Oryctolagus cuniculus: one gene and its partners. The protein of the gene in region 2 interacts with the protein of the main gene of each other region in a biochemical or structural test. Links are inferred from orthologs where the notes say so. Each region holds a gene or a part of one and is shown on either strand. Other genes may lie near its edges. The genes, in order: histone H2B type 1-B, KAT2B, IRF2, CTBP1 and SATB1.

The links.
Region 1: of the proteins of KAT2B (region 2) and histone H2B type 1-B, one has a biochemical effect on the other in vitro, tested with the Homo sapiens proteins (3 studies listed by BioGRID). The link is inferred for Oryctolagus cuniculus from reciprocal best matches to the Homo sapiens genes KAT2B and H2BC3.
Region 3: the proteins of KAT2B (region 2) and IRF2 form a complex in vitro, tested with the Homo sapiens proteins (2 studies listed by BioGRID, with this or other methods). The link is inferred for Oryctolagus cuniculus from reciprocal best matches to the Homo sapiens genes KAT2B and IRF2.
Region 4: the proteins of KAT2B (region 2) and CTBP1 form a complex in vitro, tested with the Homo sapiens proteins (2 studies listed by BioGRID, with this or other methods). The link is inferred for Oryctolagus cuniculus from reciprocal best matches to the Homo sapiens genes KAT2B and CTBP1.
Region 5: of the proteins of KAT2B (region 2) and SATB1, one has a biochemical effect on the other in vitro, tested with the Homo sapiens proteins (2 studies listed by BioGRID, with this or other methods). The link is inferred for Oryctolagus cuniculus from reciprocal best matches to the Homo sapiens genes KAT2B and SATB1.

Annotation. Positions count from the first base shown.
Region 1 is NC_091436.1:153,352,432-153,354,959, forward strand, and holds histone H2B type 1-B, read right to left. Parts: upstream 1,278-2,528; 5' UTR 950-1,277; coding exon 569-949; 3' UTR 513-568; downstream 1-512. Other genes in the region: histone H2A type 1-B, read left to right, coding at 1,278-1,670; histone H3.1, read left to right, coding at 2,300-2,528. UniProt on the Homo sapiens protein: Core component of nucleosome. Nucleosomes wrap and compact DNA into chromatin, limiting DNA accessibility to the cellular machineries which require DNA as a template.
Region 2 is NC_091435.1:155,739,383-155,742,900, forward strand, and holds part of KAT2B (histone acetyltransferase KAT2B), read left to right. Parts: intron 1-1,018; coding exon 1,019-1,125; intron 1,126-3,518. UniProt on the Homo sapiens protein: Functions as a histone acetyltransferase (HAT) to promote transcriptional activation. Has significant histone acetyltransferase activity with core histones (H3 and H4), and also with nucleosome core particles.
Region 3 is NC_091433.1:66,289,396-66,293,659, forward strand, and holds the start of IRF2 (interferon regulatory factor 2), read right to left. Parts: upstream 2,817-4,264; 5' UTR 2,599-2,816; intron 2,455-2,598; 5' UTR 2,426-2,454; coding exon 2,365-2,425; intron 2,228-2,364; exon of another isoform or gene 2,171-2,227; intron 1-2,170. UniProt on the Homo sapiens protein: Specifically binds to the upstream regulatory region of type I IFN and IFN-inducible MHC class I genes (the interferon consensus sequence (ICS)) and represses those genes. Also acts as an activator for several genes including H4 and IL7.
Region 4 is NC_091433.1:418,958-423,187, reverse strand, and holds the start of CTBP1 (C-terminal-binding protein 1), read left to right. Parts: upstream 1-1,427; 5' UTR 1,428-1,653; intron 1,654-4,230. UniProt on the Homo sapiens protein: Corepressor targeting diverse transcription regulators such as GLIS2 or BCL6. Has dehydrogenase activity. Involved in controlling the equilibrium between tubular and stacked structures in the Golgi complex.
Region 5 is NC_091435.1:153,910,939-153,913,132, forward strand, and holds the end of SATB1 (DNA-binding protein SATB1), read right to left. Parts: coding exon 1,717-2,194; 3' UTR 507-1,716; downstream 1-506. UniProt on the Homo sapiens protein: Crucial silencing factor contributing to the initiation of X inactivation mediated by Xist RNA that occurs during embryogenesis and in lymphoma.

The DNA of each region.
Region 1 (2,528 bases), on a different chromosome or scaffold from region 2:
CACTGGCCAACCTCCGCCCCGACGCGCCCTGGCCCCTCCCCTCAGCCAGTGGCTGGCCGCGAACCAGGAAAGGCGCGGGATTCAGATCGCATCCTGACTCCAGCCAGTATCAAGGCTCCATTCTTGAGAAAAATCCGCCCCATCCAATAGGTGATCCATGGATTTCTGAAGACTCAAGGACTGCTTAGCCGACGTGATTAGTGGCTACAGGTAGGTAACAGGGAGAACTGCAGGAATTTCACTCCATTTCACTGTCGAGGAGCTGGAGATGTTAGAGGGGGCTCTTCAAAGCTCATGCGAACCCGAGTTCACGAAATGCGCATCTCCCATCACATCGCGAACCCCAGTCCCCGACCCCGACCAAAGTGCCCTAAGGTTACTCAGCGCCGACCTGCACGGGATAAACACGCGTTCTGGGGTCGTCACTAACGCCAGCCCTAACACCCGACCTAAACCCACCTCAACAGGAGCAAAATACAAGGACGTCGGCCACAGCTCTATTTGTGAAAGAGTTGGTGGCTCTGAAAAGAGCCTTTGGGGTGAGGGGCGGCGGCGCCAATTCGGGAGCTCACTTGGAGCTGGTGTACTTGGTGACAGCCTTGGTGCCCTCGGACACGGCGTGCTTGGCCAGCTCACCAGGCAGCAGCAGGCGCACGGCCGTCTGGATCTCGCGCGACGTGATGGTCGAGCGCTTGTTGTAGTGCGCCAGGCGCGAGGCCTCGCCGGCGATGCGCTCGAAGATGTCGTTGACGAACGAGTTCATGATGCCCATGGCCTTGGACGAGATGCCGGTGTCGGGGTGCACCTGCTTGAGCACCTTGTACACGTAGATGGAGTAACTCTCCTTGCGACTGCGCTTGCGCTTCTTGCCATCCTTCTTCTGCGCCTTTGTTATCGCCTTCTTGGAGCCCTTTTTGGGGGCGGGAGCGGATTTGGAGGGTTCAGGCATTGCTTTTAATATTGGCTGAGAGACTAAAACAGACTCAGTCTACAGCTGATTAGTGATGACAGGCCGGAGTGCATATATTTATAGTCCCGTAATTCAAATGAGGGTTTGAGACTTCTCACTTCTGATTGGACAACAAAGAAATTTTCTCTAGGGGGGTTGTTTATGCAAATAAGGTATCCGGGTTGTCTTTTCCTATTGGGCAGAAAAGGCGAACCTATTTCGACCAATAGGATGACGTACTGTAGTAGCCCTGCGCTGCTTATAAAAGCACAGTCTTGGCGGGTATGGTTTTCTTTACTTCAGATTGCGAAGCGTGTTTGGCTGTACCATGTCTGGGCGTGGCAAGCAAGGCGGCAAGGCGCGCGCCAAGGCCAAGACCCGCTCCTCCCGGGCCGGGCTCCAGTTCCCCGTGGGTCGCGTGCACCGCCTGCTGCGCAAGGGCAACTACTCGGAACGCGTGGGCGCCGGCGCCCCAGTGTACCTGGCGGCCGTGCTCGAGTACCTGACGGCCGAGATCCTGGAGCTGGCGGGCAACGCGGCGCGCGACAACAAGAAGACGCGCATCATCCCGCGCCACCTGCAGCTGGCCATCCGCAACGACGAGGAGCTCAACAAGCTGCTGGGCCGCGTCACCATCGCGCAGGGCGGCGTGCTGCCCAACATCCAGGCCGTGCTGCTGCCCAAGAAGACCGAGAGCCACCACAAGGCCAAGGGCAAGTGAAACCACAGTAAAGACGACGCAACTCTCGCTTTGAAATACCCAAAGGCTCTTTTCAGGGCCATCCACTGTTTCACAAAAAAGCTGCTAACCCTGACTGGAATTAGTCCTTCCCATGGTGATAGCGTTAGCGCTTAAGAAAACTGTGGAAACAAGTGAAACGTGTATTTATTGTGACGGATGAAAGGCCACACAGTGACGGGGGGTGTGTCAGTCGGGAAATAGCCCCCGAGGTGCAGCTGTTTCAAACGTAAAACGCGTTTTGCCTTAAGTCAGGGCACCTTTCCGTGGCTCAGTGTTTATCGGGCGCTATTAGACGGCAGGCCCAGGTAATTAGGGATTTCGGGGTCCACGCTAGGGCCTGTTACTGAGGTAATCTCCCTCCACGGTTAGGTACGCTTCTGAGATGGAATGATCCAGATGTTAGAAAACGTCTACCATCCCAAACGGACAGTGGATGAATCCGGCCAATCAGGTTGTCTGAGTGGACCAATCATCGAAGTTCCTCCTTTAGCCAATGAGTTTGTCGCGCGGATTTTTTGAAAATCCGGAAGCCAATCACAGTAGTCCTAACGATATTTAAAGGCAGCTCTGTCGCCGCAGACAAGAAGTTTGAGTCCCACCGGCGCGAGATGGCTCGTACTAAGCAGACAGCGCGCAAGTCAACAGGCGGCAAGGCGCCGCGCAAGCAGCTGGCCACCAAGGCGGCCCGCAAGAGCGCGCCGGCCACGGGCGGCGTCAAGAAGCCGCACCGCTACCGGCCCGGCACGGTGGCGCTGCGCGAGATCCGGCGCTACCAGAAGTCCACCGAGCTGCTCATCCGCAAGCTGCCCTTCCAGCGCCTGGTGCGCGAGATCGCGC
Region 2 (3,518 bases):
ATTTGAGGTGGTTGGGGATTTGTACCTAGAGTTTTGGCAGCAGAGTCACACATACTGAAGTCGGAGGTGCTGTTTGAGTCCAGGGTACCACTGTCAGAGAGAGCTTGAACCAGCTTCCCACTGCCCAGTAGTCTCTGCTTCCCAGATGTGTTCTCAGGACTTCCATCCCAATCTTCTCACACTGCCTTGTCTTCCACTTGCCTCTAATTTGTGTTTTTCCTCCTCCTGCCTATTTATAAGATTTTTTTAAGTTTCATACTTTGTTATAAAAATAATAAATGTGCATGTTGATGAAAATTGGCTTCACAGAGAAAGAGTGAAGAAAAGTACCACCTATAGCCTTTCTGCTCTACTAAAAGTAGTCTTTCAGTGCTTTAGATATTTCTGTTTTTCTCCATTGAAAGACAATCAGTAAGCCTAGGTGGGCTGTGAATATCTGGATTTCTAACAAGTTCTCCCTCAGTGATTTCTGTGGGCTCCCAAAACCTGAGATCCATTTGGTTTATAACGTGATGGGGGAAGTTAACATATTGTTTAATAACTGGATCCAGTTCTGACTCTACCATTAACTCGATGGGGAATTTGAACCAGTTATTTAACCTCTCTTTGTCTTAGGTTTTTCATCTGTATAAAAGGGGATAGTAATGTTCCTCTCTTATAGGGTCATTATAAAGATCAGGTAAGTTGAAATATATCAACCACTTACAACATTGCCTATCAATACTAAGAGCTATATATGTGTGTAATAAATTAAAATAAATTAATGTAACTCTTAGGGTTGACATGAGGATTCAGTAAGATGTTCCAGTTTTGCAGGGTCAAAAGAGGATACATTTATAGAAATGGATTTCTGTATTTCTATATCCTAGGGCTGCCCAACTGAGTCATTTAAGTTAATAATTTTCTAGCATATTTGATTTGAAGGTGATAGCCATAGATGATTAGTGCTTTTGTCCCTCTACTAATATTTTCATTTTTTCTTTTTAAATCTTACTATTGTTTTTATTATTATGTCTAGATTTCTATCCATGTTAGAAGAAGAAGTTTATAGTCAAAACTCTCCCATCTGGGATCAGGATTTTCTCTCAGCCTCTTCCAGAATCAGCCAACTAGGAATCCAAACAGGTAAATTTCTTTTTATATAAATCATAGAATAACCAGGAAAACCAACATGAAGTGTAGGTGTAGCTTGCTCTGCAGGTATTTTTATTTTTCACCAGGAAATTTAAGACTATCTCCAGCAAAAAGCAAACACTTTTGCATATCACCCATCTGCAGTTCTATTAATGAGGAGAAAACAGGTGCAGACCAAAATCTGAGTTATGTCTGTATTAGTGAGTATAGGTGCAGACCAAATGGTTAAAACAACAAAACTATAGTATTTGTTTAGCTTTCACATTACAATTTAATGGGTGGTATAAAGTCCCAGGCAGCTCAGCTCTGTAGTCAATGCTGGCTCTTTTCAAAGTCACTGATAGTCTCAGTTAATGGCTAAACATGCCCAGGAATCAAGTGACAGTCTGGCCTCTAACCTGTGATGTTTGTTTTGTACATGAAGTTACTACCAAGAGTAATGGGAGCAGAGGGAGTCCTGGGAGAATGGGAGGAAGGCAGTCCCACATCTCAGGCTGTGAAGTACTTCCTGCTGGGTCAGAGCATCCATTATTGTCCTGAATCAGCTCATGACATTAGTAGGCATTTTATAAAAAAACAGATGTCTTCTGGAGTAACAGTAACTTTAGAAAGAGGATCTGAATTGCTGCCTTTGATAGTAGGAAGACTCAGCAGAGAAGGTTGACAGGAAATACCAAAACAACAATTCATATCTGGCTAGGGGGAAAGACAAATTCTCAGTTTTGAAATCAGTAGCTTTTGGTAGAGCGCCAGTTCCATGTGTAATATGGGGGCTTGTGAATATTGCCTCTAGCAAAGTTCATTTTATTTTGGCTTTTAAAAAATTGGGGTTAAATTCCCCCCATTTTTTAATGTACTGTGAGTTTTGACAAATATTTTTGATAATGCAATAATTATCAGAATAAACTGCAAACAAATTCCCTTGTACCCATTGGTAGTCTATTCTTTGTCCTATCTCTAGCCTTGGTAACCACTAATCTTTGTGTAGATTTTACCTTTTCCAGTGTATCCTACGAATTGCATCATATGTACTTTTTGAATAGGATGGTTTTCATTTAGCATAATGTATTTGAGAAGATTTAAAAAATTTTATTTGGAGCTCATGTTTTGGGTATAAATATGATTAAATGTCTACAAAGCAGAGCACATAGGGAATGATATTTTATTTGGATCAAACCCTTTTTGATTTAACTCTTGTACCAAAATATGTCAAAAACGTCTCTGTGTCCATTTTTACTTTAGGTCATAACTCCATGTTTCTCTGGTCCAAATCCTGTGGTGCTTTGAGACCTAGCTGAGCCTATTACATCCTCCCTGCACACTTAAGTGATCAGCATTTACTGGATATATTTCTGTGGTCACTGGACACATCCTCTGCGTTGTTCTCTCTGTACCTGTGCTATTCATTTTGTCTTTGTCTTTGTCTTACCCAACTTTCAAATGTCATCTCTCTTGCAAACCCTTTCCTAATGTCTCCCATTCCCCTCAGCAAGAACTGGATCTCCTTTCTTTCAAGCCTTCACAAAACCTTGGATACGTTCTCTCCTTGGTTCTCAAACATGGCTGCGCAGTGGGGTCATCCATGGAGATTTGAAATATACTGATTTTTCTAAGGGCCATCCTGAGAGAGTGTAGTTGGCTGAGGGTGCATTGGGACTTTTACAAGCTCCTCAGGTGACTGTAATGTGCAGTAGCATTTGAGAACTGTTGTGGCATATGATAACTTACCTCCTGTTATCCTAGCCCCGTTTTTTCTGCATAGCTTTTCGATTTTTTAGAAACAAATTATTTATTTGATTTTTTGGAAAGGCAGAGAGAGTAAGAGGGAGAGATATCTTTCATTCATTAGTTTACTCCCCCAAATGCCCACAACAGCCAGTTATGGGCCAGAGCTGAATTCAGGATCCTGGAACTCAATCCGAGTCCCCCACATGGCTGCCAGGTACCTAAGTATTTGAGCCAACACCTGCTGCCTTCCAGGGTGCACATTAGCAGGAAGCTGGAATTGGAAGCAGGGCCAGGACTTAACCCAAGGACTCTGATATGGAATGCTCATGTCCCAAGCAGCAACTTAACTGCTGTGCAAAACACCACCCTATCTCCACATGTTTTCTCTTCTATGAATGCAACTCCTTGATGATCAGAGACTCAGTTTTGCCACAGTAATAGTAATAATTGATACTTTCATTAAATGCTTTTCTATGAAGTTTGCTTCATATTTTTATTAAAGATTTGCTTAAATTTATTTGAAAGGCAGAGTTACAGAGAGGCAAGAGAGAGAGAGAGAGAAAGAGAGTCTTCCATCTGCTGGTTCATTCCCCGATTAGCCACGATGGCTGGAGCTGCACCAATTCGAAGCCAGGAGCCAGGAGTTTCTTCTGGGT
Region 3 (4,264 bases), on a different chromosome or scaffold from region 2:
TCTTGACGGCAACCATTTGTTTGCCATAATTTGCTTCCAGACCCTTCCTTTTGATGAAGATGACATTGTACAGGTAAGTCTGAAATATGTGGAACTGTCTCTAAGTTTTGAAGGTCAACAGGAAAAATACGACTCCTTGAGAATGAAATATGTACGTGTTTAATTTAAAGAAGCAGTTACAACTCATAACAATGCATGAGAATTCTCCCATCCAAGAGGCCAAAATCTCATTCCTACCCAACAGGCTGTTATAAATTATAATCATTCGCTAATTACAGTGAAATTCTGGACTTTGCCACACTAATCAATAGATGTTCCAAGGTCACAATCTAAAGGTGTCAGTTGAAATGCTAAAAATTCCATCTACTGAGGTTTCCTTAGGGAAGACACAAAGTTTTCCCAGGATTTTTTAGATTTCTATTTTTTCTCCTCCCCCCCCCCCCCCCCCCCCGCCAACCCCATGAATGGAGGGATCATTCCGGGAAAATCAGGGCCCCCTGAATCTGTGTGTGTGATGAAGTCCAACGGGATCGCCGCTGGGGCCCTGGCAATGGAGCAGGCATCTGTCTAACATCAAGACCATCCGCCCCTGTGTCTGATACCAGACCCCTGTCTGCACCTGCCCTGGAGCACCAAAATGTGCAGGCTGCCAAGTGCAAGGGGTGCCCGCAGTGCATCTGAAAACCAATCAACGTCTGCACGCAGGACTGCAACCCCGATGATTCCTGAAAATCCACAACAGGAAACGTAAGTATCCTCCACCCTCCCTGGCCATTCATCAAAAGCAGACCGAATCACAGCCACGGGGCGGCCACGGGCAGAAGGCAAAGGCCGGCACTTTTCCTCGTTTTAGAAGGGCTGCATTTTCTAATTCCACAGCCAAGGACGGGAAGGAGAAGGCTGAAGACCGCGGAGCGGGCAGTAAGCCCCCAAGTTTCAAACACCGTGGGGTTAGCAGCCAGGGAGAGCTACCGCGCTACATACACAGTCGGCCCGGCGGGTCCTGCCTACGCCGGCCGCCCCCGGCGCCCCAGCGGTGCCCAAACACGCGGCTCACGCCCCGGTCGGGCGGCCAGCCTCCGTCCCTTTCCCCCCTTCCGAGGGGACACGCGGGTAAGGGTGGCAAACGCACCGGGGCCAGCGGGTGCTGCCGCCGCGTTCCGGGGAGGGCGGGAGTTGCCAGCGACACCCTGTGAACTTGGACAGGCTCCCCGGGCCCCCGGCGGGTGCCAGCCCCCGGACCGTGCCGCCGGGAGCGGCCGGGCGCCGCGATTGGCTGCAGCCGGCATCGCTCGGTGGGCGAGCCGGGGCGGGCGAGGCGGAGAGGAAGTGGCGGCCGCGGCTTTGCACCAACCATGTTCGGCCGGCGGGCGAGTGTCACCCGGCGCCCACAGCGGGGTCGGAGGGCGCGGGGCGGGCATTCCCGTCCCCACCCCGCCGCCGCCCCGCGCCCCAAGCCCCCCTCTGGGGGGACGCCGGCCCTCGCGCCTGCCCTCCCGGGCGCCGCTCGGTCCCCGGAGGCTCCCTGCCCCCACCTCGCCCGCTCCGTAGCCGAGGCGGGTCAGGCCCAGCGCGCGAGGCCGGCCGGGGGCGCCGGCGGGGACCCGGAGGCGCCCGGCGCTAGGCCGCGGCCGGGGCAGATGACCCGTCCGCGCGGCGCCCTCCCGAGACGCGCCGCCTGAGCCCCTCGCGCGCCGGGACAAGTGCAACGACAAAGCCCCCGGGCCAGGCCGGGCGCTGGCCGGCGGGAAGGAGGACGCGGCGTCCCTCCAGAGTGGCGGCGGCCCAGCCCCCAGGAAGCCCGGCGCGTCGGCCAGGCCCGGCGCCCAGCCTCGCGCTCCGAGCCCGCTCCGGACGCTGCCACCCGACGCCCGCGACCCTGCCCGGTGCCGGGCGGGTGGGCGAGCCCCCAGGCTCAGCCGCGGGGCGCCCCTTCAAGTTTGCTGTCGCCGGGGCGCGGGCAGCTGGCGGACGGCGGGTGCCCGCTTATTTACACTGGCGGCTGCCGCGGGAGAGGCGCCGCCGCCGGCACCGAGGAGGACCTGCTCCCCGCCTTCGGGTCTGCTGGCGGCCGCGGCTTGTAAACACACATACACGCACACGCAGACAGGACAGTTTTGGTTTTAAATGAGGCCCTGCTCCAGCGGACCCGCACCCCGACACACGACACCTGAGGTACGGAATCACACAGAACAGCTCTGTGTCCATGGAACCACTTCTTCGCATCTGCAAATCCAAAAGTGAAATTAAACCTCCACCAACCTCCTCCTCCTCCCTCTCTACCTCCTCCTCCTCCTCCACCTCCTCCTCCTCCTCCTTGCAGCCTCAGCAGCCCCAGTAGCAACAGCAGCAGAACAGCCGAACCTGCTTCCCCTAAAACCAGATGATCCATAATTGCGCCGAGTGATCCTCCACAAACCGGCATTAATTTTTAGGAACCCCGGCATTTTCCGTCTGCAAAACATCGTGTCAAAAGCATCAGGACACGCACACGCAAACGCACAGCCCCCACCCCCGGCCCCGTCAACAAGCCCTCGAGAGAAAACACACGCACCGTCACAACTATTATTTGGCCAAAAAAAAAAAAAAAAATGTTACCTTCTCCGTGTGCTTTTTCACGCTAGCCGTGCAATCCCGCAAGGGCTAAGTGTTGCTAGGGTGTGGGAAATGGAAACGAAAGCCCGTCAGTTGAATAATCGCGGGAGCAAAACTAAAAGTTACTCCCCGGCTGGCCTGAGAACAGTCCAGATCGAAAGCAAAACAAGGAGAGGAAACTGCGAAGCGCCGCGGCTGGAAATCCCCCCGCCCCCCGCCCCGCTCGCCGCCGCGCGCCCTCGCCCGCCTCCCTCCGCCCGCCTCCTCCGCCCTTCCTCCCCAGTGTTTGTCTCGGCCTTGTGCAACCGGGAGGCGGCGGCCGAGGGCGGGCGCGAGCGGCCGGGCCGCGGGGCGCGGAAGTTCGCCGCCGCCGCTCATTGGCTCGCGGCGCCGCTTTCATCGTTTCTCGGAAAAGTCGATTTCATTTTCACTTCCCCACGTCGCGGGAGCCACGGGCGGCCGCGCGTGAGTCTAGCTGCTCGCGCACAGGGGCGCTCGCGTTCCCCGCAGCCGCACGCGCGTGAGGGCCCCGGGTGGGGAGCGGGCGCGGGCGCGGGTTTGTTGGGGCGGGGGTCAGGTCAGAAGCTGGTGCAGGCTGGGGTGGGAGCGAGGACGGGCAGGTGCGGGCCCTGCGCGTCCTCGGGGTCGCCTGGCGCTCTGAGGAGGGGGACCCGAGGCGGGGAGCGTGCGGGGCGCGGGGACGGGAGGGCGGCAGCCGGTTGCTGTGGGGCAGCAGAGTGTAGCACTGCCCACCTCGAAGGAGCGAACGCGGGGCAGTGATGTGAAAAGTCGGCATCCCTGGCGCCCCGTGGGGAGGCTGGCGAGCGTGGGAGTCGCTGCTCCTCAAAGATGTGGTGGCCGGGGTCGGGGCCTGGGCGGAGACTGGATGCTTTCTTAATTGGCCTCTTTAGTTCACTCGCTGAGCACCCTCGGCCTCAGGTTTCCAGGCCGGGGATAAATGGGAGAATAGAATACAGGTGCCTCAGCCGCCACCTCTAAGCCCAAACTCACAGCACTTGGGACCCAGTCCTTTCTCATCACTTGCATAGGAGAGGATAGGCGCACACCGATTAGAGCCGCCTCTCCCCATGGGGGGCTTAGGCAAACGGCTCGTCCCTTCTCTAGCTATTTCTTCTCATATTATTTCCAAAAGTAATAATAAACTCCAGCACCTGTCTTTGTCACAGAAGCATTGAATTATGTGCACTGGATAAAGAAAAGTGTCGGGATATGCACGTGTGGTGGGGCGGGAGCTGAGGATCTAGTGTCCCGTTTTGTGGCTATGGACTCCAGTGGGTCTCATATACGCACATTATTCATTGTCCCCTCTGTCACAGCGACCCAGACACTCACTTTTCTTAATTTGTATATCCATGACGCCCATAGGGGCAGACACACAAACTGTAGGATAGTTGTCACTCTTCACCCACCCTGAGACCCAGATCTCTCTCTTTTTTTTTCGACCAAAAAAGTTGCCTCACTGTATTTCCCCTGGAATGTGAAGAAGAAGTGGGGAAGAAGAAAGAAGAAGGGAAGAAATCATCAGGGTGTCGGTTTGAAATTCTCACTCTAGGCACACATGGGACCCAGATCTCGCCTCGCAGCCCCAGGAGTGCAAGAAGCAATAGCCTGGTGTCATGGCACCCGCAGGTGCTGCGTTCCCTGAGTC
Region 4 (4,230 bases), on a different chromosome or scaffold from region 2:
CTTCCCACCCCCCATGGTCACTACCCGGCCCCCCGTGGTTACTGCCCAGGCCCCCCCCCCGCACCCACTTCCCAGCCCCCCATGGTCACTACCCGGCCCCCCATGGTCACTGCCCAGGCCCCCCCCCCCCGCACCCACTTCCCAGCCCCCCATGGTCACTACCCGGCCCCCCGTGGTTACTGCCCAGGCCCCCCCCCCCGCACCCACTTCCCAGCCCCCCATGGTCACTACCCGGCCCCCCGTGGTTACTGCCCAGGCCCCCCCCCGCACCCACTTCCCAGCCCCCCATGGTCACTACCCGGCCCCCCGTGGTCACTGCCCAGCCCCCCCGCACCCACTTCCCACCCCCCCATGGTCACTGCCCCTGCCCCACGCCCAGCCGGGGCTCTCGCCAGCCCCGGGAGCAGACAGCAGGGCCCAGCGGCCTCTACCTGGGCACCAGCCGTCGGGCCGGGCTGAGCTGTGCTGTGGAAAGTTCCATCAGGACGCAGCCGGGGGGTGTGTGAGTGCCTGGCTGCCGAGACCCCAGACCCCAGACCCCGGAGCCCGGAGCCTGCAGCCGGGAGCCCCCCAGGCCGAGGGGGCTGCACGCGCGCTCCTCTGCCTCCTTGGGCCCGCCTGGTGGAAGGCCAGGGGTCCCTGCTGCCGGCCTGGGCTCTGGCCACTCTGGTGGGGTCCCTCCCCGGCCCCCGACTCCACTGCCCACTCTTCCGGAAAGCGGCCAGCCCCAGGGGCAAGGCCTCCCCCGCGGGAGTGCGGGAGTCCAGGGCTGAGGGTTCGCGCGGGAATTAGTTCGTTTGTATTCACATCCGCCGCGCTGCGGTGCTTTCTCTGAACGGGGGAATCTTCCTTGGCTGGGCCACTCCCCAGCGGGCGACCCGGACCCAAGCCCTGAGTCCCGCCTGCCGGGCGCCCGCCTAACGGCTCTGCGGGGCTGTCCGAGGACGGGGTGGGCCCGAGCTCCAAGCTGCCCGCTGGGCCTCCCGGCCCGGTTCTCCCCGGGGTCCGGGGTCCGGGCGGCGGGCGCGGGCGGAGACGCCCACCCTGCGGGGCTCCTGGCGCGGCTCTCACACAGGGCCCGGGTGAGACGGCGTCCGAAAAAGAGCCGGACAGCACCGCGCGCGAAGGGCCCTGGGGCGTGCGGGACCGGACTGAGCCAGGCGCGGGGGAGGCCTCGGCCGGGCGGGCGCACACCTGGCCCGCCGCACCTGCCCGCCTGCTCCCCCGCACGGGGCTCGGAGCGCGGGGCCGCGCCGGCCGCTTCCCGGAGCGCCCCCGGCAGGCGCCGCACCTGCACCTGCAGCGCCCGCGCCGCGGGGCCCGACCCCGCGGAGGACGGCGGGCGGGGCCGCGCCGAGAGCCCGAGCCGCCCGCCCGCGCCGCGCGCTGCGCCGGCAACCAGCAGACCAACCGCGCAGGCCCCGCCCGCGCGCGCCGCCGCGTGTCCCCGCCCGCTCGGTCGGTCGGAGCGCGGCTCGCGGCGCGGCTCGCACGGCGGCGGCGGCGCAGGCGGCGGGCGGAGCAGCGGACGGCGCCGAGGCCGCCCCACGCGCCGGGCTCGCGGCGGCGGAGCGCGCGGGACTCGCGGGGCCCGCGGCCGCCCGCGCTTTTCAATGGGCAGCTCGCACTTGCTCAACAAGGGCCTCCCTCTCGGTAAGGCCGCGCGCGCTTCCGGCCGGGGCGGGGGCGGCGACGCGCGCGCGGGGCGGGCCGGGCGCGCGCCCGTGGGCGCCGGCTTTGTGTGCGAGTGCGCGTGCGCGCCGGCGGGCGGGGGGCGGGGGCCGCGCGCATGCGCGGGCTGCTGCGAGCGAGTGCGCGTGCGCGTGCGCCGCGCGGCCTGGCCCGCGCAGGTGACACAAAGGGGCCCGCGGGCCTCGGGGCGGCCCCGCAGCCCTGGCCGCCCCCGCCCCGGGCTCCTGGGCGTGGCGCTGCGGCCCCGGCCCCGCGAGCGCCCAGCGGGCTGCCCTGGGGCCCGAGGCCCGAGGCCCGGAAGTGAGCACGCAGGTCGTTCCCCGGGGCGGCGGGGAGCCCGAGGCCTCGCGGCGCCACCTTTGTGTCCGGCCCGGCGGGCGGGCTGCGGCCGGGGTCGCGGGGCCCGCTTCTGGCCCTCGTGATGAGCAACCCCGGTTAGGGCAAAAGGGGGCTCCCGGGGGGCCAGGCCCGGCCACAGTGGCCGCGTCCCGCCGCCGACCCGGCCTTTCCGGCCCCGAGGCCCCCACTCTGGGTCTGCGCGCGGACAGCGGAGGGCTCGAGTCCCCCGGGCTGCTGGCCCCCGGCCGGGGCTCCGGTTCCCGCGCTCTTCCCTGCCCTGCCCTGCACTTGGCCTGTGTGCCCAGTCCGGGACTGCGGGGTGGGGGCGGGTGGGGCGCTGCGCCTGCCTCTGCGGCCCTGCACACCGGCGGCTGCCCCCAGCCTGGGCTGGCTCTGCCGGGCCGGGGAGGGGACGGTGCTTGGTCTCCCCAGCGTCTCCTGACCCCACAAGCGCGCTCAGCAGGTGCCGGCCGGGCCTCTCTTCCCAGTGTTCTGTGTCCTGCCTCGGGGCACCCGGGACTGGGACTGTCCCATGGGCTCAGCCCCGGTTCTGGCCACATCCCGGGCAGTAGGGGCACCGCTGGCCCTGTCGGCCTCTGAGGCCGCACGGTGGACCTTGGTAGCCCGGGGTTTGGCCGTCTGGGCAGCGTCTTGGTGCCTGGTCAGCATGTCGTGGCTGGCGTCAGGGTCCTGTGCCGAGGGTTTGTCGCCTGCCCTTGGGTCTCTGGCCAGGAGCCTGCAGGTGGTGCCTGCCCCAAAACCCCTGTCCCCTTGGTCTGAGTGCCCGCGGCTCCGGCCTTCTTGTGCAGCCAGGCCTGGGGGTCTCAGCCCCCTCCGTGTGGGCTGCCAGGAAGCAGGGTGTCCACGGTGGGGAGGGTGAGGGCTCCCGCGGCGGGCACCCCACGGTGCAGGCTTCCTGCAAACCAGACCCCCTTGGCTGCTGGGCTGGGCTGGGGCGGCCAGAGCCCCGTGCACGTGCCTGGTGTGGGTGCTGGGCGGGGTGGGGGCCACCTGGCTGCTCCCTTGCCGGCTGTGGTATGGATGCCACAGGGGCCCCACTGTTCTCAGAGCCAGGTTTCCTGTGGGGTCCACTCGTCCCCCAGGAGGGCAAGCAGGGGCTGCCCTAGGCCCTCCACCCCAGAGTGGAGCCTGTGCGGCCTTCAGGACACGCGTGTGGTGAGCGGGCCCATAGCTCCCTGGGGGGTGGACCATGGTGGCAGATCTGCACCTCCCGTGGGACCCTCTGCCTGGGGTGGGTCCCCCTGGCCCCTCGTGCCTGCTGCCCACGGGCTCAGTTCCCACCCGGCAGCGGGTGGCTGCATGTCCCCTGCCAACACTGTGTGCAGGCCTGGTGGACGCTGGGGTGGCCGTCGCAGGCTCTTCCGTGTGTTGAGCGGGAGCCAGGCCCCAGAGAGCCGTGAGGGGCAGCAGGGGGTGCCCTTGTGGGGCAGGAGTGGGGCTGGCCGCACTGGGCTTTGTGTTCAGGGTGTGGGGGTTGTCTTTTTTTTGAGATTTATTTATCTGAAAGGCGGAGTTACAGAAGAGAGAGGTTGAGGGAGGCAGAGAGAGAGAGGTCTTCCATCTGCTGGTTCACTCCCCAGTTGGCCGCAATGGCCGGAGCTGCATGGATCTGGAGCCAGGAGCTTCCTCCGGGTCTCCCACATGAGCGCAGGGGCCCAAGCACTTGGGCATCTTCCACTGCTTTCCCAGGCCACAGCAGGGAGCTGGATGGGAAGTGGAGCAGCCGGGACTTGAACCGGCGTCCATATGGGATGCCGGCACTGCAGGCAGCAGCCTCACCTGGCGTGGGGGTTCTTAATCGGGCTGCGGTGAACCCCAGTTGCTGTGAGGCGGGGAGGGTGTGGTGGGCGTCAGGTCTGAGATGTCTCGGAGCTCACAGGCAGGGATGCGGCAGGGGTCACTGGTGGCTGACCTGCGCCAGCGTGGTGCCGGCCGGGACCCCGTGTCCCTGTGCCTGTGGGACCCCTGAGCTGCCCTGGCGCTGTCCATCCGGGGCAGTTTGACCACTGAATCCGTGTTGCTGCTGCTGCGGGGACCAGGCTGTGCGGGCGGGAGTGGACTCGTCCCCCCGGGCCAGCTTGGCCTAAAGTCCCTGCGAGTACGAGCTCCCCCCGCAGCCCCGCCGTCCCCGCAGCGCCGACTGCCTCGGGAGTGGCATGGCACGGCCCGAGGCCAGCC
Region 5 (2,194 bases), about 1.8 Mb from region 2:
CTCTGTCTCACCTGCTCTCTGAAACTCTTTCAAAGTAAGTAAATAAACGTTTAAAGAAAATGCTTCCTGAAGAGTTTTTATTCAGAGGGTTCATTTTCCCATTTACTTAATTTCTTACTATTAATAGCCTTTAAAAATACTTATACTTTAGCTTAAGAAAGTGTTGCTACAGTTAAAATACTGTGAAATAAAAGCAGGTTGAAGCACTCTAAGAACGTAACTGTCAGAGTGTGAATGTAGGTTTTTGTTGGAGTTTGGGCATGCTATGTTGTTTATCAAGCAAAATATCAACCAAAAAACATGGTTATCATTTTCATTGTGAAATTTCATAACTCTTTAAAAATGAGCATGTGTTTGTGACTTTTTACAATATTTTAAGTGACTTCTCAGTTGTTCTTTCGAAAAAAAATATCAAGAAAAATAGTATAAACATGCACTTAAGTGAGAGGACCATCCTTTGATTCTTCTTCAAGGTGACTTGACATAAGCAGACAAACCCTACCATGTCATACCATACAAACAATTTTAATTGTGTAGTTACAGTCAATAACCACTCCTAATCAGAACGTTTCTGCATAAAGAAAATTGTGATACACTTATAAAAACAGCCAGCTGTAACAAAATAGCTGGTGTTTTCATAGCCATAAACTCATAAAAAAGAAATACACCTTTATACAGAAATTTTATACAGATGTACCTTTAAAATTGATTGTAAACCAAAGGAAGACACATTGCAAACATCAATTATTTCACATTAATTGCATAATTTTCTAAGGTGATCTATTAGTTTTATTTACCTAAGCTTATTTGCATGATAGTAAAAATTGCATACAACAATAAGAGTGAAGCTTATAGTATGAATTGCTTGGATAACATAGAGCACTTTTTATAGGCAACTGTGTAAAGCACATTTTCTCTATTTAAAACTTTTAAGACACTTTGTTTTACTGCCCATCAAAATACATTTATAAATAGAAAAGAATATCAGTATGGTAACAAGAGAAGCAATATTACATTTAACGGAAACTTCCAAAAAATTAATTACAACATGATGCTGCAGGATCTACAAATAAATAATGAGGACTAAATTGTGTTTCACATTTTCTTTTCTTTTTCAAAAAAAAAAAAATAAAAGGCATGTAACAATGTGAATGAAAAAAATTACAGTGAACTTTTATTTCCAAAATAAAAACAAATTTGAATTACGGCAGTGCCATATAATACAAGGCATTTGTTGGCATATGTCATCTTTAAACTGCATTCCACAGTCTATAGTTCTTTTGTAACATACAATAGAGTAACAAACTCTTTTTTTTTTCTTTTTTAAAATAAGGGGCAAGTTTCCAAAGATCATAATTAAAGGAAAGGAAATCATAATCACAGAAGTTATAATGCTTGTTTGAGGCTCCAGAATAATAATCATTGAAAAATAAAAATCACTGGTACCATGCTTACAGGCACACACCTTGGTGTGTTCCGTGAACACAAATTTTAATACCAAACAATCCTCGATGCTTCACCTGGGGCTGCGAGCAGTTTGTAAAACTTTAGTGCAGTCTGCATGACTCCTCTCCCAGCCTTCCTGTCTGTGCGAGTTTCTGAAGATTCATTGGCCAAACAATGAACGACAAAGGGTTTCTGAGAGAATGCAAGGTGGACTTCTCATCTTGTTAGTAAATACCAGTGGCATTGTTGAACGAAAATAATACTACTATCTCAGTCTTTCAAATCAGCGCTAATGTCTGTGTTCCCTTCCACGGACAGCTCCTCTTCTAGCTTCACCGAAAAAAGGGTGTTGGCATTTTTGTCTTGGACACTCTCTTCCAAATCCTTGAGCAACTCCTCTTCCTTGTACTCTGCCACATCCACCTCGAGACCGGAATTGTCCTTCAGCTTGCCGTGGTGCTTGAGATAGTACCGCTGGTTCTGGAAGAACTTGATGATGGTGTACTTGGGGAGGTCGAGCTGGGCCGACAGAGTCTGGATGGCCTCTTCGTCAGGGTACAGGCCCACGTCTTGGATGAAGCTCTGCAGGATTCCCAGGGCTTCCACCGAAATTTTTGTTCGCGGCCGCGTCTTCTGCCGGTTCTCCTCGTCGGACTCTGCGGGCGAGGCCACGGTGGGCTGGCGAGGCGGGAGCCGGGGGCCCGCCTGCGGCTGCGGCTGCGGCTGCGGGGGTGGCGGCGCTGGCTGC